Linked DNA regions of Schizosaccharomyces pombe. The gene in region 1 interacts genetically with each later gene. Each region holds a gene or a part of one and is shown in the gene's direction. Other genes may lie near its edges.

Evidence for each region.
Region 2: mutations in cyb502 (region 1) and prp3 together harm fitness more than expected from each alone (negative genetic interaction), as found in Schizosaccharomyces pombe (one large-scale study listed by BioGRID).
Region 3: mutations in cyb502 (region 1) and tif302 together harm fitness more than expected from each alone (negative genetic interaction), as found in Schizosaccharomyces pombe (one large-scale study listed by BioGRID).
Region 4: mutations in cyb502 (region 1) and SPOM_SPAC25B8.11 together harm fitness more than expected from each alone (negative genetic interaction), as found in Schizosaccharomyces pombe (one large-scale study listed by BioGRID).

What each region holds. Positions count from the first base shown.
Region 1 is NC_003423.3:2,574,140-2,577,491, reverse strand, and holds cyb502 (cytochrome b5), read left to right. Parts: upstream 1-2,026; 5' UTR 2,027-2,063; coding exon 2,064-2,211; exon of another isoform or gene 2,212-2,395; coding exon 2,396-2,549; exon of another isoform or gene 2,550-2,597; coding exon 2,598-2,670; 3' UTR 2,671-2,829; downstream 2,830-3,352. Other genes in the region: SPOM_SPBC2G5.01 (Ca(2+) binding protein), read right to left, coding at 1-871; Ragulator-Rag complex subunit Lam1, read right to left, coding at 3,005-3,215, 3,278-3,352.
Region 2 is NC_003424.3:4,401,861-4,409,911, forward strand, and holds prp3 (U4/U5/U6 small nuclear ribonucleoprotein complex subunit Prp3), read left to right. Parts: upstream 1-2,018; 5' UTR 2,019-2,226; coding exon 2,227-2,307; exon of another isoform or gene 2,308-2,357; coding exon 2,358-2,516; exon of another isoform or gene 2,517-2,562; coding exon 2,563-3,222; intron 3,223-3,264; coding exon 3,265-3,575; intron 3,576-3,658; coding exon 3,659-4,076; 3' UTR 4,077-4,129; coding exon of another isoform or gene 4,130-7,236; 3' UTR 7,237-7,310; coding exon of another isoform or gene 7,311-7,478; 3' UTR 7,479-7,736; downstream 7,737-8,051. Other genes in the region: F-box/WD repeat protein Pof11, read left to right, coding at 157-283, 359-453, 505-1,803. UniProt on the Schizosaccharomyces pombe protein: Participates in pre-mRNA splicing and in nuclear mRNA export. May play a role in the assembly of the U4/U5/U6 tri-snRNP complex.
Region 3 is NC_003424.3:4,308,977-4,313,612, forward strand, and holds tif302 (translation initiation factor eIF3b (p84)), read left to right. Parts: upstream 1-1,584; 5' UTR 1,585-1,602; coding exon 1,603-3,780; 3' UTR 3,781-4,085; downstream 4,086-4,636. Other genes in the region: kinesin-5 family plus-end directed microtubule motor, bimC subfamily Cut7, read right to left, coding at 1-1,000; pan1 (actin cortical patch component protein PanI), read right to left, coding at 4,245-4,636.
Region 4 is NC_003424.3:4,172,021-4,176,908, forward strand, and holds SPOM_SPAC25B8.11 (transcription factor), read left to right. Parts: upstream 1-1,654; 5' UTR 1,655-2,038; coding exon 2,039-3,488; intron 3,489-3,534; coding exon 3,535-4,049; 3' UTR 4,050-4,358; downstream 4,359-4,888. Other genes in the region: SPOM_SPAC25B8.10 (trans-aconitate 3-methyltransferase), read left to right, coding at 156-926.

The sequences.
Region 1 (3,352 bases):
TTCCCGTAGCATTGCTCAAACCAGAAAGGGATGTGATTTTTTTAATTCTGATTGAAGCTTCGATACGAGGCTTCGTAACATAATCCTTTTCGGTAGCAGGAGGGACTGAAGGTTGATCAGTAACGATGAAATACTCAAGGTTTTCAATACACTCGTTAATTGAAGACATAAACTCGGGAATTTCGAAAATAGCTTGACTACACTCATTGTTCTCAGACATTAAAACATGAGTTTCCGGTAAGTAAGGAGAGGAAGAAATGCGGGTAAAGCTTAAGTCGTAACGTATTTCACGAAGAATGCGCATACAGTCTTTATGAACAATGGCGAAAACAAAACGCTCAGCCTTCAAGTTCTGGTCTGCAAGAGTTAAATCGAATTGAAAACGGTCAGCAACAGGTAAAACAGAAGACATAACGTTTCCCAGGAGGATTTCAACGATTTGATTAAGAGAGTAGGCTAACAAATCTTGACGAGGAAAAAGCTGAAGTGTTGTATACACATTCTTCACGTTGAGACGTCCAGTAAGATAGGAGCTAAACTCGGTAGGAGAGTCATAAATGATTGGAGAACTGTTAGGACCTGGTCCATATTGTGCAAACTGTTGGCGAAAGCTAGACTGTAAGGAACCATACCAGCGAGAAGCGATTTTTTGGTTTTTCTTCTTTTGCGTGATAAAAGAAAAAACATAAAGGAAAAAACAAGCAAGAATAACAAATTCAAGACGGAAATCTCTCCAATCGACATGCTTGAACATTCCTGGATTCTCCAACTCGGGATTCATATTGTAATCCTCTTCGTATTCATCTTCCTCATCAGCCAGTACTCCTTTAGCTAGTGCAAAAACTAGAAACAAAAGCTTTTTATTAATCATGGTTCCTCCGCTTGTAAATTTACTGACTTTCGTGAAAGAAAAAAGGGCACTGGTTGTACGAAGTGAGATTGAACGTGGTGAAATAAGTAACGAACGAGACAAGCCGGTTCCTAGAGTGGGAAGATTAACTAGTGTATATAGATAGTTTAAAATAAGTCGGTAACCAGAACATGTCGCGATGGTGTAGTTGGGAGCATGACAGACTGAAGATCTGTTGGTCATCGGTTCGATCCCGGTTCGTGACACTTTTTTTGACGTGGAGAAAACACTTTGTACTAGTTATATCCAACATAATTTTGAGGTTTTTTCTTTTTACTTATTTTTATTTTTCTAGTTGCTATATGTGAAGCAAAATTAGATAGCTAACGGATGCTCAAGAATATTGTACTGGCACTTCAGCTTGTTATTGCAAAAGTTACAAAAACAGTCTGCAAAGACAAACAAGCATAGAAGCTCAGTTGGTCTAAATGTATATTACTAGATCGGTTCTGTAATTATTGGTGTTTTATTAGCAATGAATGGTGCTTTCAACTGAATATATCCGACAGAGAAACTATATGGCGTTACAATTTTCAAAGGTAGTAGTTTATCTATTTGGTAAATGATAGTTGTACGAACTGCTACGCATTTACTCAAAATCTTAGTTACATTCATGCGTTCTATATAAAAGAAAGTCATTTTGTACTTGCTTGTTTACGTATACGATCGGTTAATCTCAACAAAGCAAATAAAAGGAAGCTAGTCACCCTGTTGTACTTTATACCTAGGACATATTTTTTTTTTCAAACATGTAACATACCGTTACTGAAGAATGTCATAAGCTTAACGCTAGCTAAATTAAGCTTGTATCAAAGTTGCGAGGGATATTGAGATCTATCGTTATTAGATCATTATAGATAAAAAGATATAAATGAGAAATCCTCCATACCTCAACAATAATTGTTTATTGGTAAAAAAATATTATTCCTATCCACTTTTTGGTTAAGCAGAAAATCTGGCAGAATTTTGTACATGCCGCTTTGCCTATCATTGGCTGCTAAATAAATTCCTTGAGCTCGTTTGTTCGATTATTTACTACTACCACACGATACCCTAACGTGAGATTTTCTCTACTAGCGATATCAAAACTTTCGCAAACTTTTTCCAACTCCCCTCAACACACGATTTTTATTATATAGATTTATTTATCAAGATGTCGGTGAAATACTTTGAACCTGAGGAGATTGTGGAGCACAATAATTCCAAAGACATGTACATGGTCATTAATGGAAAAGTTTACGACGTTAGTAACTTTGCTGATGATCATCCTGGAGGCTTAGATATAATGTTGGACTATGCAGGTAAATAATTCGACAAAACTTTTGTAGAAGTAAACACCATATTATGTTGGAGACTGCTATGCTCAAAAGCGATAGTATACTTTTAATCGCTATCGTTTCATTCATCAGTTCTTCACTTGTGTGCCTTCTTGATTAAAACATTGTATACGGCTTTTTAAACATGTCCACTAACTATTTGTTTTAGGCCAGGACGCCACTAAGGCCTATCAGGACATTGGACACTCTATTGCTGCAGATGAGTTACTAGAAGAGATGTATATTGGTGATTTAAAACCCGGAACTGAGGAGAGACTCAAAGAATTAAAGAAACCTCGTTCATTTGATAATGATACGCCTCCGTAAGAAAATGATTTGTGTACGATGGTTGTTTCATGCTAACAGAACAGATTGCCTCTATTAATCGCATTAATTGTCCTGCCAGCCATAGCAGTAATTGTGTTTGTTAAGCTTAACAAATAAACTTCGAAGGCTTGCCTATTTATTTTCCTAATCTTTATACCTTCTTTTGTTTTTCGCGATGTTAGTATCACTCAATATTATTATGGATAGCAATTGTTTTCAAGGCTTCTAAAGAAACAAAATAAACGTTAACTTAGAAAAATATATTTCTTAAATGTCTTCCTTCAGTAAGAGAGCTCTTAAAAACAATGAGTTCAGCTCGTAACATGTAATTAACTCATGGAGATATTAAACAAACCAAAAAAGTATAACAAAAAGATTTAGCTAATAGTAAAGAGGGAAGTATGTAATCAGAAGTGGAATATAACTAATGGAAAAATTAGTTCTATTGGGCTTATGAAGGACTTCCAGTAATATTCGGTTGGACTTTAGATAAATTGATTACCATCTTTCCTTTGATTTCTTTATCACTCAGCTTAATGTTGTTAATATCATCAATCAAAACACCTAGTTTCCTTATTATAAACTCGGTTTCCTGCTCGGTAGGTTTAGCAACATCGTATTTTGGATCTAAATTCAATGAGTCGATTTGATCTAATACCTCCCTATCGCAATCATTATGTTAATATAGTTTCTACTGTATAAAAAGAATTTATCAAAAGCTTACTCATAAATGTTGTCCCGAGGGTCTCGCTGAGGTGCTTCGGTTCTCAATCGTAAAGAAAAGACGTCAATGAATTTA
Region 2 (8,051 bases), on another chromosome or scaffold:
GAAACTCATATCGGAAGGTTGTGAATTGAATTGATAGTTTATTATAAAGGCCTGCTGACTTGAACAAAGGTCTACGCCCATTTCAGTTTGATACAGATATGCCCCGTGTCGTATGACTACCATATGTAATAGCTTGGGATCTTGAAAACTTTAGGAATGAACCAGGACGACAATGGCAAAAATGTGGTTAGCAAGGTGTCAGATTTGACATCTTGCAGTGATTTCAGTACCTCAAGTCCGGTTCCTTGCCTAAATCCGCTGTCTCATGAAAATAATAGAATTGGTATGTTTTTTTTGAAGCTCACGGCTTTACTTCTTTTTTAATTTGTACTCTTTTCATTTTACTAATATAAAGAAGACTTAATTCGTGATCTGTTGGCTTCCTTATCCAAAGAAGGGGTAGTTGCTGTTTACAATCACGTTCGTTCTCTGTTATTTACAGATTTCACAGAAGTATGAAGTTTTCAATTCCCTGTATAATATAACTAATATCCGTTAATGTAGGTATTTCCTGAAGAGGTTAGTTTGAGGGTGTTTAGTTACTTAGATCAGCTTGATCTATGTAAGTGCAAGCTTATGTCAAAGCGCTGGAAGCGTCTATTGGAAGATCCTGGAATTTGGAAGGCTTTATATATGCAAAAGGGTTGGTTTGTAAATGAAAATGTGCTAAATGAATTTGAAGCTTGGAGAAGGACACACAAGTTTCCTCAACCAAGATTCGAAAATTTTCTAAAGCAGCAAAATATCATAGGACCCTATGGTACAATGTTTCTACCGCAACAGTTTATCTTCGACTCCAACGGCCGGCCCTTGTTAAACTGGTCCTATCTATACAAAGAACACGCCCATTTGGATAGTAATTGGAGACATGGTAGATTTCTAGTATCTACATTCAATAACCCCTCTATACGCTTCCCTGCAGACCAGGATTTTCGTGCTACATTGGATAGTGTTTATTGTGTTCAATATGATGACGAAATCATGGTCAGCGGGTCTAAAGATCGAACAGTAAGTGTGTGGGATGTAAATTCTCGATTTATTCTTTATAAATTATACGGCCATTCTGGAAGCGTCCTGTGTTTGGACTTTTGTAGACGAAGAAATCTTCTTGTTTCTGGTTCTTCTGATTCAACAATTATTATATGGGATTGGCAAAACCGACGCCCATTAAAAGTTTATTTCGGACATACAGATAATGTGCTAGGTGTCGTTGTATCCGAAAATTACATTATATCTTCTTCAAGGGACCACACAGCTCGAGTATGGAGGTTAGATGCCACCTCCCCTGCTGAAGCTTGTATGCATGTTTTGCGTGGTCATCTTGCTTCTGTAAATTCTGTACAATATTCTTCGAAAACTGGATTAATTGTCACAGCAAGCAGCGATCGCACTCTACGCACTTGGGACATAACTACTGGCCATTGCATTCGCATTATTCATGCTCATCAACGTGGAATAGCATGTGCTCAATATAATGGTAAATTTATTGTTTCAGGCTCTTCGGACCTTACAATTAGGATATTTGAAGCAAGTTCCGGTAAACTGCTTCGTATGCTTCAAGGTCACGAAGATTTGATCCGCACTGTGCGATTTAATGATGAAAAAATTGTTTCAGGCGGTTACGATGGCACTGTTCGAATTTGGAATTTCAACACTGGCGAGCAACACTGTGTATTGCATAATAGTAGAAATTCTCGTGTGTTCGGTCTGCAGTTTGACCACAGACGTATTATTGCATGTACTCATAGTAGCGAGATATTGGTTTGGAATTTTGACGATGGATTGGATTGTACATTTTTTTAGCTACTCTCTTACTTATTATTCAATGGCGAAAAGAATACCAATTTGCTAGTTTTAACCTTCCCATCCTTTGCTCAGACCTGGGCAGTTCCTCTCAATATCGTAGTATATTAATTTTTTTTAATGAAATAGACTCCATTGTTAACATGTCTGCTTAGTTTTTGAATACAAGTATCGCAACAAACTATACTTAGGCGGTATGTGCCACCACACTCCTTGAATGGACCAACTAGGTTAAAGATTGAAGGACACAAAAAACTGTCAAGTTTTTTTACTATATGCATTTTTTTGAATTTAAGCGTTAATGTAAAGTTCACAGTTTATATTTAGACCACGAATCTGAGTTTTTCAAAGTTTACACGCACAGTCGTTGTACAAATTCGTATTCCCAGCTTTGCAAATTAAACTACTGCTTTCAATTAACTGATGGATCGTAACAAGAGGCGTTTAGAATCGTCTCAATTGAGGGAAAGTTCTTCGCCGAATTCTCAAAATAAGCCTAACGCTGTATGTTTCAAAAATATAAAACTAATGGACGAATATCTAATTCAATATAGATGGAAGAAATTAAAAGAAGACGTTTACAATTAGAGCAGCGTCTTGCACAACAAGCTCAAGTGCCTTGGGAAAAACGCTCTGAAAATGGGAATAATGCTGGAATGGAAACGATACAAAATCGTATATCAGAGCTTAAGGAAAAGACAGCCAAGAGATTTGTAAGTTTTTTTATTTTTGTTATTTGCAGTTGCTAATCGTTTGTAGAATGCCAATATACCCAAATCTGAAGGCTTGTTCAGAGATGATAGTAATGGTGCCAAAGGGGGATTAAAAGTTGGAATCCATCCAGTGCTTTTAGATGGTAACATTCAAAACACAATTTTAACACCTGAAAATCGTAAACGAACTGCTTCTTTTTCGACAAAGGGTGTTTCTTTATCGCAGCACCAACTATTGAAACCACCTGCTATTACAGAACAAAATCCTTTTCTTGATACAGCCCCTACTCCTAGATTAGAGGATTCACCATTTTATGATCCTCGAACGAAGGAATCACGGAAAACTAGGGGTTCAAGGAATTTGCATTTAAACGAATCTGGCAAGTTTATAGAAGAAGCTAATCAAGCTCGTCGACAGGCCAGATTGGAGGATCTCAAAAAAAGAATAGCTTTACACTCGCATAAGGCAGGGATTGAAGATGAACTTGACATTACGAGCAAGTCTATTGGAAGAGATACAATTCCCAACATTGAATGGTGGGACTTACCCTTTATAAAGGATTATAATGACTATGGTGATGAAAATAACTGGCTAATTGATGGTCCACAATCAATTATCAACTCAGCTATTCAACATCCTATACCTGTTCTCCCTCCTTATGCAAAAAACCAACCGTCATCTCATTCCGTCTTCTTAACTAAAAAGGTAAATTATTTGAAAGTTGATTAATTGCTGATTATTTTTTAGGAGCAAAAGAAAATAAGAAGACAGACTCGGGCTGAAGCTCGAAAGGAAAAACAAGACCGTCAGTTACTTGGAATTGAACCTCCAGAGCCACCGAAAGTCAAGCTTTCTAATTTAATGCACGTTTTAGGAGATGATGCTATAAAAGACCCTACTAAAATAGAAGCAGAAGTTCGAAAGCAGGTTGAAGAAAGACGTCTTCGACATGAGCGAGAGAATGAGGAACGGAAATTAACTCCGGAGGAGCGAAAAGAGAAGGCATTCCGTAAGAAAGATGAGGATTCAGCTGCCGGTCTACGTTGTTTGGTATTTCGGTATGTATCTACAACTATTGCATCTCTGTTTATGTTTTGTGTAAATATGTATTTTGGCTAATTTACTGTACTAACTTATTTAGTATTAAATACCTTGCTCATAGGCCTCATCGTTTGAAAATTGACCTTAATGCGAAACAATGGGGAGCTACCGGTGTGTGTATCTTGAATGCGAATTTTAATTTAGTAATTTTTGAAGCTGGACAAAAAGCTATCAAAAAATTAAAAAGACTAATGCTTGAAAGAATCGACTGGACTGATACTTCAAGAAATTCCATTATAGCACAAGGAAATAAATTAGTGGATACTGAAGGACGGGAATTAAATTATACAGAAAACACATGCAATTTAGTATGGGAAGGAGAAATTGGTAGGCGAGCTTTTCGTTACTGGTCGTTTAGAAGTTGTCCATCTGAAAACGACGCAAAGAGTTACTTAGAAGAACAAGGAGGAGCTGAGCATTTTTGGATGTTAGCAAAATCCTGGTCTGAAAATGTTTAAAAATCTGATAAAAAATTTTTATTATATATATTTTTGAATGATATTTTAATTAATTACTCCTCTTCGCTTTGTTCATCCTCGGAAACAGCTTGACCGCATTGTCTAAGCAATTCCTTGTCTTTAGTTCTCTTCGACTCTAATTCTTCAACTATCAGCAACCAATATTCATCAGCTTCCTTGAGTTTTTTCTCTAACTCTTTATTTTTACTCTCTAAATCTGAAATTGTTCGGTTGTCACTGTCCTTCAATGATTGCATGTTTAACGACGCGTTTTGCAAGCCAATAATGTCAACCTTTAACCTCTCAATCTCTTCGTCACGCGCATTTAACTTCTCATTGGCTTCGGCTAATGCTTGAGAAACTTCTTTAAACTTCTCGTTATTAACGCTTTTTTCTTTATTCTGGTCATCATTTGATACGCTCTTAAGAGAATCGTTTTCACTTTTAACCGTTTTTAGTTCTTTGCTTAAAGTTGAAGCTGTTTTCGTCGCTGCCTCCAAATCTTTTTCCAGTGAAGAAATTTTTTCAGTATGTTCTTTGGCAAGTTTGTTACCAAAATTAATTTTCTCCTGTAAATTGCTGCACTTCTGCTTTGCTAATTTTAACTCATTAGCTTGATTTTTATTGATAGATTCCATTGAACTCAATTCATCAGCAGCAGCAGATATTCTCTCGTTCAAGGTTTCAATTTGGTTTTTGTCTTGATTCAACTGCGATTGCAGCTCTTGCAAACGTGTAGATTCCTCGCTAAGTTTATTCTTCAAATCCGAAATTATGTTTTCTTTGTTACCAAGATTATCATTCAGTGCTTTCTTGGACAATTCAGCTTCACGAATTGTATTTTTGAAGGACTCTGTATCGGCATTCTTCTTATTGAGCTTTTCAGTAAGCAAATTAAGGTCATTTTCTAGCTTTTTGTTTTTGGATTCTAATGCAGCCAGAGAATTATTCAGTGACTTCGACTTTTCTAACTCAGATAACAAATCCCTATTTTTGGAGCTGATTATTCCAAACTGGTTTTTTATATCATCCAACTGTTTGGTAAGTTTTGAATGTTCCTCGATGAAATCTTTGATTTCGGATTCGTGACCTTCTCTCAAAACTTGCATTTCCTCCTCCATTTGTTTACAATTCGACTTCGTATAATCTAGTTCAATTCTCAAATCATATAATTTTTGCTGATTATCTAATAACTCTTCATGGTATTTTTCTGCCAGTTGTGTTTGTTCTTCTAGATTTGTTTTGCTAGTCTTGAGACTTTCATTCAACTTCTCTTCTTGAATAGATCTTTCTTTGACAGAAAGGTCTAATGCTTCTTTAGTGTTATCAATCTCTTCCCTCAAACTTTTCAATTGCTTTTGTGCTTCGTCAAACGCATCCAATGTATTGATTTCACCAATTTTAGTATTGAATGCGTCAGCGGCGTCGTCTATAGCGTGCTTAAGGCGGTAAAAATTATCCTTAAAGAAATTCACAAATGTAGTGTCAAAGAGGATGTCATTGCAATTACCATCTTCTGCTTCATTGACAGGAACGTGATCTCGTATAAGTTCATCCTGCGAAGCCGTTGTAGCCTATTAATGAACACGTCGCGCTTGACAGCAGAAGTGATTGCATTGTAGACATCAGATTTAGATACCGGAGACTCTATTGGACAATAATAGTAAACCAATGATAAGAATACAGCTATCATGCCTTGAATAACGGAATTTGCTGAAGACGATTCATCCATTAGCGCCGTCAAAAATGTTTGCAAAATGCTACTTTCCGACAAAAAGTCTTTGACACTATCAGGATTACCATAAACCAGAGCGATTAATAGTGTTAGATAACCAACACAATTTTGAAGCGCGTTCTCATGTCTTAAAGTAGCTATTAACTTGGTAGATACGCATTGAATAAAGGTGACTTTGTCTTCACTTTCGGAATCCTCGTCATTGTCCATATCTTGGAACAAAGGAATCGAGCACAAAAGATATTTTCTCTGGTCATTATCAATAACAAGGTAGGTAAGGATTGTGCTAGTGAACCAATTATCATACTGATCTTGATCGGACAAATGTACTAAATCCAAATATCCTTGAATTATATTGAGCCGATTATCTTGTTTATGGGTGTATGCATGAATAATTTGCTTTAAAAACTTCGATGAAAGCTCATCATTTTCGGAGGTTAATGACCTTAGGAAAAAAGCCACGGAATAGCGATGTGAAGGTGAAATAGAAGAAAGAAAGAGATAATCAAACAAACACGTCAAAACATCGGTATTTTTTATATCAAAAAAAGTAGAGTCGACAAAACTATTTTGAGCTCGAGCATTAGAATATACGACGTGCGCTAAAGTTATCCAGCTAATTTTTTGAACGTCAAAGAATAATAAATCAGGGTGAGTAGCAAGTGTGAGTAAAACATCAATGCCGTGATTGGAGACAACAGCATTTTGATTAGCAATACTAGAAGATAAGCCAATTGGTACTAATGATTGAAGAGCATATAAGGCTTCTATAACACACTGTACACGAGAAGTGTCCCAAGTTCCATCAACAAAAGTGTCAACGGACAAAAGCTTAAGTAAAGAAGGAATGTGGTTGGACTCACGGAAATAATTTTGGTTAGAAATGTTATCTTTAAGTAGAACGTTCAGAAATTTCAAGGCTTCTAGTGCTATTATACCACCATCGACACCACCTTCATTTTCTAGCAATGAAAATAATGTCTCAAAAGCGTTTTCAAATACCACCAACTTCTGGATGCTTGTGCAGTCCTTCACCAATTCTGACAAAAAATAAAGATCTGCATTTCGAACTGGCTCAATGGAGTCTCGAAGTGGAACCATTATACTGGAGATAGCAGAAGGAAATGTTTGAAGACAATCTTTCAATTCAGTGGGCCGGCATGATAAAATAGCAGAGAACAATTCAACAGAATATAGACGAACATAGAAATCTTTGTGGGATATGCTTTGCAAAAGACATTGAATATTGTCTTGGTTCAGGATAAACTGATCTGCTATCCACAACCCAGTATCTGAAGCTCTTGAGTCGTCATCGTGTCGCGTCAAAATTAAGCATGTTTCTAAAGTAACTTTTAAAAGTTCAGGATCATCATAGTCTCTGTGTAAAGATTGAATTATGCCTTTTAAGCCATGAGCAGCCACGAGCTAAATTTGTTAGTCCCAATCGAACAAAATTAAATAAAAAAGCAACCTCAAACTAGTATTTAAAAAAATCATACCTCCTTAAACTCTCTCGCAAAGCTCTTAATTCCGAGAGCAGCAGCTTTTCGATCTTCAAAAAGCGTAGCATGTTCCAACCGATCACAGAGCTTCGATATCGTTTCATCCGCCTGCTGAACTTTGGGAGGTGATAGAATCACATTGTAACTTTTATGAAAAATATCCATCAAGTGAGCGAATGCACGCAAAGGCAAACAGCAGGATTTCAGCTGTCAGAAGTTCCCCAATATAAAAGTAGTTAGCCCTCGCTTATAAGAAATTATTAGAAACTGCAATGCATTACGCTATGTTCAATGTAAACAAAGCATTTCTCCCGGACCACACGACAAACGTGAATTTACTTAAAAATCTGAGAACAACTAGGAAAAGCTAATTCTGAACCAATTTTATATATATTTTCGGACCCATGCCATTTAGGAGTGAATTAAAGACAATTGAATTACAGTAATACGTTCATAATTTCTTTTATTTAAGATAGATTTACACAAAAAATCTAAATAGTAACGTTGCTGTTATTCAAACGTATTTTCATTGCTTCGCAAGTTCATCTTTGTCGCTAATTCAGGCTTAAATTACTATAAATTATTTGGGATTACTTTATATGACTAGTCGAAAGGAGCAGCTGGATGCCTTTTTATCGAGAACTTTGTCAGAAACTATAGCTCACATTCCTTTGGAAAAGTTCGCACAATGTTTTCCTTCCATGAAAAAGGGGAAAGTTATAGCAGTCATCCATCAGC
Region 3 (4,636 bases), on another chromosome or scaffold:
TGTTCTCGCTTCCAGCCAAATCAACCATATGAAGTTTGCTGGCGCGCAGCAAGTCATCAGAGTTATTATTTATGGTAAGTGAATTAGTTTCATCTGTCATTCCCGAAGATACCTTTCTATGCAGAGTTATCGTGAAGATTGAATGACTACGAGATGAAAGATCGTTACACTTTGTAGCAGCAACTTGACGCCGGTGAGAGCCTTCACGTAACAATCGCAACCCATCGCCAGCATTTTTTATATAACTTTCTTCAATACCAGTAATAACAACGTTCCCTCTCCGCGAAGTATCTTCAAAAACACGAGCTGGCTTTCGCAATTCTTCGGAAACCAAAAGATCGCGAATTTCCTCGTTGTAAAGTTCATAATAGGAGCATTTGACAGCATATTCTTGATTACTGTTGTCCAAGGAGGAAAATAATTGATAAAGGGCACGAGGAATAAGGCCTGCTCCTTCAGACAAAATTCCATCGGAATCGCTAAGATCACCAGACATAGTATATGTTTTACCGGTTCCAGTTTGTCCGTACGCAAATATAGTACAATTATAGCCGTTCAATACTTGCTCCAGCATGGGCGCTACCGAATTTTCGAATAGCATTAACTGGTCAGCTTCAGGACCAAAGACTTTATCAAAGGCATACGTCTTCGTGACCAACATGGATGAAGGATCCGACTGGATGGCCAATTCAGCACCCATAGCGCCCGAAGTCGATACAGCAAGGCTACTATTGTCGCGTACTTCTTGGTCTGTACGACCACGAACACGGACGACTACGTTAATATTGGTTTCGTTCTCATCATGAAGTGCATGATCTGTCGGAGAATTAGTGTCGGAGCGATCTGGGTACCCAGTGTCAATAGTAGGAGGCTCACGTCGTTTCCTAGGATTGCTCGCAGAGCGGAAATGTGAATTTGGAGTAGAAACCGGGTTTTTAGCTTTCAACCCCTGCTTTCCTAGAAATTGTTGTGAGCCACCAGGTGCAACTCTAGGGGCCATTCGGTTTTATGAGTAAGGATTGTTACAAAGAAAGCGACAAGGTTGTTAATTTAAATTGCAATTCTGTTGTAAAGTTCAATAAACCACAATATAAAAAAAAGGGGTAAATTTAAAATAGGAAAAGATCGTAAACGTCTGTTTTTAGGGGTAAAAAGAATGAATAAATTGGACAATTGTCGCTCCTGAGTATGTTGTTGAATTGTTGTAAACAAGAACGAGGACTCAGACACGGTAACACTTGGAATGTCTCATTCCAATGTTTTGCAGTACAAATCAACAGTATAAAAAGAGAAAAAAGAACTTTTATGAAAAATCCAACAATTGTGCTAATACTAAAAATCAATACAAAATGAACGAACTTGGCAGATAAACTGTTGTCAGTAATGATAATAGTCAAAATCGGTAGAATGAGTTAAAATCTAAAAAAGAAGAAATATAAAACAGAATCAACTTTATTAGTTTATTTTAAATGATACCATGTTTTTTAAATTCTACTTTTCATTACTTTCAATTTTTTTTAAATTTCTCTAAAGTTACTCTTCGATGTCCCCCCAGTCACTGGGTGAAGAAACTTGACTAGAGACAACGGCACTACACCAGAAATGTCGGAAATCCTAATTGAGGAAATTAAGGATCAAATCGTCGTAAAGGACGAGGAAATCGATGTTTCTGAACTGGAAGTTAAGCTTAATGTAACTAAACCTGTTGGATATGACACGGTTGTAGTAATCGAAGGTGCTCCAGTTGTCGAAGAAGCTAAGCAGCAAGATTTCTTCCGTTTTTTGAGCTCAAAAGTCCTTGCTAAAATTGGAAAGGTTAAGGAAAATGGATTTTATATGCCATTTGAGGAAAAAAATGGAAAAAAGATGTCTCTTGGACTAGTTTTCGCCGATTTTGAAAATGTTGATGGCGCCGATCTTTGCGTTCAAGAGTTGGATGGAAAGCAAATTTTAAAAAACCATACTTTCGTTGTTCGTAAGTTGAATCAACTCGAAAAAGCTTTTAGCACTCCTGATGAATTTAGTTTCGAAGAACGTGAATTTAAGGAGCGCGAACATTTGCGTAGCTGGTTAACTGATTACTATGGTCGTGATCAATTTATCAGCTATTACGGTAACCGTGTATCTGTTAACTGGAACCGTAAGAGCGACGTCCCTGAACAGATTGTGGATCGTGAAAACTGGACCGAGACCTACGTGCAATGGTCTCCCATGGGCACTTACCTCGTATCACTTCATCTTCGTGGTATTCAATTATGGGGTGGGGAATCTTGGGGAATGTGTGCTCGTTTCTTGCACCCCTACGTAAAATTTGTCGACTTCAGCCCTAACGAGAAGTATCTTGTTTCATGGTCCTATGAGCCTGTTCGACTTCCTCCCATCGGACATCCGGCTCGTGAAACAATGCCTTTCACTGATGATGATGAAGGAAAACATTGCTTCGTTTGGGATATTGCCTCTGGTCGTATTCTTCGTTCTTTTAAGATTCCTCCTCAACCAGAAGGTTCAAAGGATGGCAAAAAAGTTATTTGGCCTATTTTCAAGTGGTCTGCCGATGATAAATACCTTGCTCGCGTTACTGTTGGTCAGTCGATTTCTGTTTATGAGACACCCTCCCTTGCTTTGGTTGACAAGAAAACTATCAAGATCGACGGTGTGCAAAATTTTGAATGGTGCCCAGTTTCAGATGCTCTCGGACGTGATTCCAAGGAGCAGCTTTTAGCTTACTGGACCCCTGAAATTACCAATCAACCTGCTCGCGTTGCCTTAATTAGTATTCCTTCAAAATCAACTATCCGTACGAAAAATCTTTTCAATGTTTCCGACTGTAAGTTGTACTGGCAGTCTAATGGTGATTATTTATGTGTTAAGGTTGATCGTCACACAAAAACTAAGAAATCAACATTCTCTAACCTTGAAATATTCCGAATTCGTGAGAAAAATATTCCCGTTGAAGTAGTGGATCTTAAGGATGTTGTTCTCAATTTTGCCTGGGAACCTAAGAGTGATCGTTTTGCCATAATTTCAGCTAATGATCAAGTTTTAAATTCTACAAATGTAAAAACTAATTTATCGTTTTATGGTTTTGAGCAGAAAAAGAACACCCCTAGTACTTTCCGTCATATCATTACTTTTGATAAGAAAACATGCAATTCACTTTTTATGGCGCCTAAGGGTAGATTTATGGTTGCTGCAACCCTTGGTTCCTCTACTCAATATGATTTGGAGTTTTACGACTTAGATTTTGATACCGAAAAGAAAGAACCGGATGCTCTTGCCAATGTTCAGCAAATAGGTTCTGCCGAGCACTTTGGTATGACTGAGCTGGAGTGGGATCCTAGTGGTCGATATGTTACTACTAGCAGTACTATTTGGAGGCATAAGCTTGAGAACGGTTACAGACTTTGCGATTTTAGGGGCACACTTCTTCGTGAAGAAATGATTGGAGAATTTAAGCAGTTTATCTGGCGTCCGAGACCTCCTTCTCCATTGACAAAGGAAGACATGAAGAAAATTAGAAAGAAACTTAAGGATTATAATCGTTTGTTTGATGAAGAGGATATCGCCGAACAGAGTTCCGCCAATCGTGAATTGGCAGCCCGTAGAAGACAGCTCATTAGTGAGTGGCAGAAATATAGGGATGAGGTTATTGCTCGGGTTGCGGAAGAACGTGCAATCACTGGCCAACCTGCTATCACTGTTCCTGCTGAAGAAGAAGAAATAATTCAGGAAACGGTTGAGGAAGTAATCTCTGAAGAGATAGAACCCGTTGAAGATTAAGGGCTTTACGCTACCTTTTGTCATAAAAAAATTGGGGCCTTCTTCGAAATCGGATGTTACTTGATTAAAATCATGATCTTGTTGCCGCAATTATGTGTTCCTGGACGTGTATTTGCGTTTCGATTGGTACTGTATGGGGAAATTTATATTTACATTAGTCCTTTTAAATGGAATTGCATTTGCGTTACATACTACTGTATATAAGTAATATAGCGTTCTTAATAGTTTTGTGAATGTCCGAGTATTATTTGACTCAAGAAAGTTTCTAAATTCATATTGTCTTAATGCACTCTAGAGATTTAAACATAAACATTTTATTGGTAAATAAAGTATAAACAAGCCAATTTAAAGAGATAATTGATAGCTGCAGAATGAGAAAATATATCATTCATAAAGAGCGCATAAAAATTAGAAACACTACAAAAACTCAACGTTTGATATGAGTACAAACAAAAGTTAAGCCACTAAGACAAATTCCCATACCAAGCGGATGAATTGCCGTCAGAAGCGTCTAAAACTCGTCCTGCTATGGGCTTGCTTTTATCCGTCGTAACCGTTTTTTTCAACCGAGTGCCAGTATGAATTTGTTGAAGTAAAGCACTACGATCTCCTGGATTGGGAACAGAAGGAGCCGATGAAGCAGGAAGAGGTGGTGGTGGAGCAGACGGTGGACCGGCAGGCATTGGCGGTGCAGATGGAGGTGGTGGTACTGACATAGGAGGAGGTGGTGGTGTTGGAGCAGACATTTGAGGTGGTGCCGCCGATTGAGGTCTTACAGGAGGTGTTGAAACAGGATGAGCAGGAGCCATACCACCGAATAATTTGGCGGCTAAGGCAGCTGCATCTTTACTTGAAC
Region 4 (4,888 bases), on another chromosome or scaffold:
AACCAATTGTCCATTTGAATCCAGAATAGTCTTAGTGGTATATTCACTACAATACAACACAATACCGCAGCGTTTAAGCTCAAATTATCAACCGGTCGTATCATTGTTTTTAACCACCTCTACTCTAGTGAACAACAATCGTTAAGTATAAAAAGATGGCTGAACAAATTGACTTGAAAACATTTAAAACTGATGTTGCTGACTATGAGGCTGCGAGGCCTGAATATCCTATAGGAATAACCGACTGGATTACTGATGAATTCTTAATTGATGAGACTTCCATCATTTTAGAGCTGGGTGCTGGAACTGGCAAGTTTACACCAAGGATCATCGCGTCTCATCCTAAGGAAATTATTGCTGTTGACGTATACCCCGAGATGCTCGATGTATTGAGAAAGAAATTCCCAAATGTTGATTGTCGTGCAGGCTCAGCTATGGCTATTCCTCTTGAGGATGAAAGTGTTGATTTGGTTCTTTGTGCACAATGCTTCCACTGGTTTGCAAATGAAGAGGCAATGAAGGAGATTTACCGCGTTTTAAAGCCTAATGGGAAATTGGGTCTTGTTTGGAACACTCGCGATGACACTGTGCCTTGGATTGAAAAGGTTAGTAAAATTTTGGGGAGGTACCGAAAGGACGCACCTAGCTTTGTTAGTTGGAAATGGGCCGAACTATTTCCTGGTCATGGATTTGGTAAACTTAGGTACTGTGCATTTCCTTTCTCGAGGTGTCTTACAGTCGAGGAATTACATACTTTAATGAATTCGTTCTCCTTTATTTATAAGCTTCCGGAAGAAGAGAAGGAGAAAGTGCATGCTGAACTTGATGAAATTGCTAAAACTATTCCCCGTGTCCAAAACACCGACCAAATTAAGCTTTGTTACCAAACGATGGCTTTTAGTAGCGAGAAAGAGCCTGCCAAGTGATGAATTTTTTTCAAGCGATACTCTTATGCGTAGAAGTAATACACTGTGAGTGATGAAACCTTCGACGCGGCGCAAACATTTTGCACTTGCCATCTATGATGAGGAACATAGGCTTTATGGATACTTTTATGCGTATGTTATATTCTCATTTTTTTTCTTCTTTCTTTTGTTTTGTTGTTTGTTACGAGGAATTCTTATGCTGTCAATTTTATCGCAGCTAACCTCTTTGTTAAGAATTTTGTTTCGCGTATTGAAAGAATATTTTCCAACAATCACTACTATTGCTAGATTCACCTTTATACGTTTCATCCACACTTTATTCAGTGAAGATTAGCAAAAATGTTTAAACGAGAACTCAATTCTTAACATAGCTTCGCTTATCATATGCAGCTAATATATAAATTTTTGAACGAAAATTATCATCTTATATGATACAAGTGATCGCAAAATTAGGGCTCGTGAGTATGACTAAAATTGCGATTATCACTTCCACTAAAAAGTTTAAGCATAAATAATTTTATTCTTTTTTTTTCCTAAACAATTGTACGAAAGAAATGGAAAACATTTACTTCTTGGTCTCTAAACTTCTTTAGCTTCACGTATTTGTTTGTACTTTTTTGAATAATGAGTTGCGTAGTGTTGCGGCGCTCTACTTAGTACATCATTATAGAAGTTCCATATCAAAGATAAACTTGTACTATATTTGGACTTAGCCTTATCCATCATTGTACTATTCTGCGTTTAAACAGTCTCAATTGTCAGTTTTGAAATTGAATTTTATTTGCTTATAAGTCGCATTTAATTAGTCGTATGTTCTTGCAATTATCATCGAGTTATAGAAGTTAAGTATTCTCATTCGCATTTTGGCATTTATTTGCTATCCCTTGGTATTCACCCGGTACCATCTTTTGATATCTTCTTAACCATATGTGTGTTTTTGAGTGGGTTGTTATACGTTAGTTTGCTCGAAGGTTTCATTTGGCTTTAAGCATTCATTTGCTATTATTCCCATTTTACACAAAATCAGGTAGAGGCCATATAAACCCCTTATAAGCTTGATTGAAGAAAAGAAAAAGAGACCGATATAATTGGCCTGTTTCCTATTATTATTAATGTCTAATTTGATTTTAACGCCTTCAAACAATGGCACAGAACGGCCTTATCGCTCAAGGAAAACTAGACCTTGTGACAATTGTCGATTGCGGAAAAGCAGGTGTGTGGTAGAGTCAATTGGAAATCCCTGCTTATTATGCACGCAGTTGAAAATTCCATGCACCTACCATCTTCCTCCTATAAAGCGCAACAAACAAAAAAAGCAACAGGATTCTGTTTCAGATGACACACCATCAGAAGCAACAACAACGACTAACGACGATCGTGATCCAAAGTACAATGCCTTAGGCAATAATTTGGATGCTGTAAGAGGAAAAGTGATTTCACCTACGCAAGGGTCAGATGCTCGTGGACCTGATGGTCGTCAAGTTCCATTAAATCTAGCAGGCATTACTGAAATGTATCATACTTCAGATGATAAATTTGACAAACTTGGACTTGACGATTCTTTGAACTATCCTTATGTGTTGGGGCCAACCTGTGATTCAGACATCGATCTTATTCGTGAGTATTTTTCGTTTGAAAACGGTGTTTGCTCTTTCGATAATATGACTGTTAAGTACGTTTCTACTAGCTCCAAATCACCTGTAATGTATATCCTGGATCCTGCGTATGAGAATGACCGTCATAGTGATTTTTCTCGATATGATCATGCTTTGCACGATCTATTATCAACATACATTGATGAGGCAACTGGCCGCACTTTAGTTAATTTGTACTTTAGTCATGTGCATCCTTCTTATCCTATTCTTCATGGACCTAGGTTTTTATTATCATATAAAAACGGTTCTCGAAATGTACCGTCTATTTTACTTGCCGCACTTTATTCCGTAGCTCTTACCTACTGGCCTTCTGATTCTCGATCGTTTGGAGCGCCACCACTAGATCAACGGAAAATGTGGACCATTGTCGAGGAAGGGTTGAATTTTCATTTTACACAACCACGACTTAGCACGATACAAGCTGCTCTCTTGTATTTAATTAGTCGTCCTTTACATAATATGTACAGTCTTTCCAGTATCCTTTCCCGTACGACTGTCCTTTCGCAGTTGTTGGGTTTTAATCATGATTGCACGGAATGGAAGATACCCAATGAAGAGAAAACCATCCGTAAACGCATTTGGTGGGCTATTTTTATTGCTGATAAATGGTATTCAATGTATTTTGGGTTAGCTACGAACATTCATGAAGATGATTTTGTCGTCCCAAAAATAGAATCTGATGAATCATTGCCTCTGGAAATCACATCGTCACATTCCTTTAAAACATTTCTTAAAATGATAGAGCTTAGTTCTCTTTTACAGGATATATTACAAGACTTATTTACTGTCCGTGCATTAACCCGTCATTCAAAAAACAATCGTTCTATTAGTTACCAGATCATTGGCTTTTTTACCAGATTAAACAGTATCCGTCCTGTAGAATTTACAGAGCCTGCGCTCGGAGTTGGTAAGTTTTTTTTTCCTCTTTACACTTTACTAATTGTTTTATTCAGCCTCATTAAAAATCCAGTTTGATGCTGTTGAAATATTGTTGTGGAAGACGGCATTGAGGTTCAACTTACCCGATTTTCAGTCTGCAGATGACTTATTCGTTTGCGTAGAAAAATCTGTTTCGAATTTTGTACAAATCACAGCCAACTCTTCGGGAGACTTTTTCTGGCCTTACGCAGGATTCCATTTTTCAACACTTGTTTCGCTTTTAATTCGCTTGCATTTAGATTTCCATACAAACAATACATACGGAGCTAGAGCTTTCTCACTTTTGGATGCGTTTGTGCGGCACTGTATCACGTTGCATGAGGCAGGTTTTGACTTTGTTGAAATGGCAATTAGGCGATCGTCTTCTTTGTTAAAGGAGCTGGGCAAGGACCATCCGCATTTATTGGCTCTTCGAGACGATATATTTAATTCTAATGATTCGCGAGGCGAAGAAGCTTATAATCACGTACCAGAGCAGCTGTTTGATCCATGGAATCCTCATTCATGGACGTTTCCCAAGTCCGATTAAAGAAATTTGTCTCTCACACACTAACTACATTGGCTAAATACTTAGGTTTACTTCTTCAAAGAGATCTGTAATTAATGTACATCTGAATTGGTGAAAATGCTAAAGATCACTTTGTTGTCTGTCATTCACAAACATATATATACATACAAAATATTGAACTATGCTATTGGATGTTAAACGTTTCTTCTTTATCTTGTGATTATTTTATTTTATTTTAAAGTTTATAGTGCTGGTCAAAGAATGCCTGGCATCTCTTATGACATTTTGAATAATAATACATTTATAATTTTGAGTCATGATAGAACCGAAACTTAATGGACTTTTGCTGCATGGTTTATTTAAGTAGTCTATAACTTTATACACGAAGCTTACGATACGAAGTTTTTAGATTGACTAAAGTTATATTCATTTGCTAACGATAGGCATCAATGACAAAACAATATAATATACATCAAACAACGTCCATAAATGCTATTTAACATACCGAGTAAATGAAATAATGACAAAAGCAAGCCTCTAACAAAACAAATAAAGAAAAAGAAAGAGTCAATTAATACAAATAATGAGAATAAAACACAAGTATCGCCGCTGTTGCTTCAACAACGACGTACGAGTTGGATGTATTGTTCACAGTGTAGAGGATCGAATCTAGGGTCTATAAAACAAACAGTTATGAAAGGGGAAAGGAATTAACGGGTATATATATGTGACATCTCATTCCAAGTAACCCCTTATAATAAAGAAGCAAACATTAAAGGAAAGAGACAGAATTGTAACTAATAGGGAGAAAAAATAAAAAACATACTAAATAAAGATTTATATAGATGAGTGTAAACGAA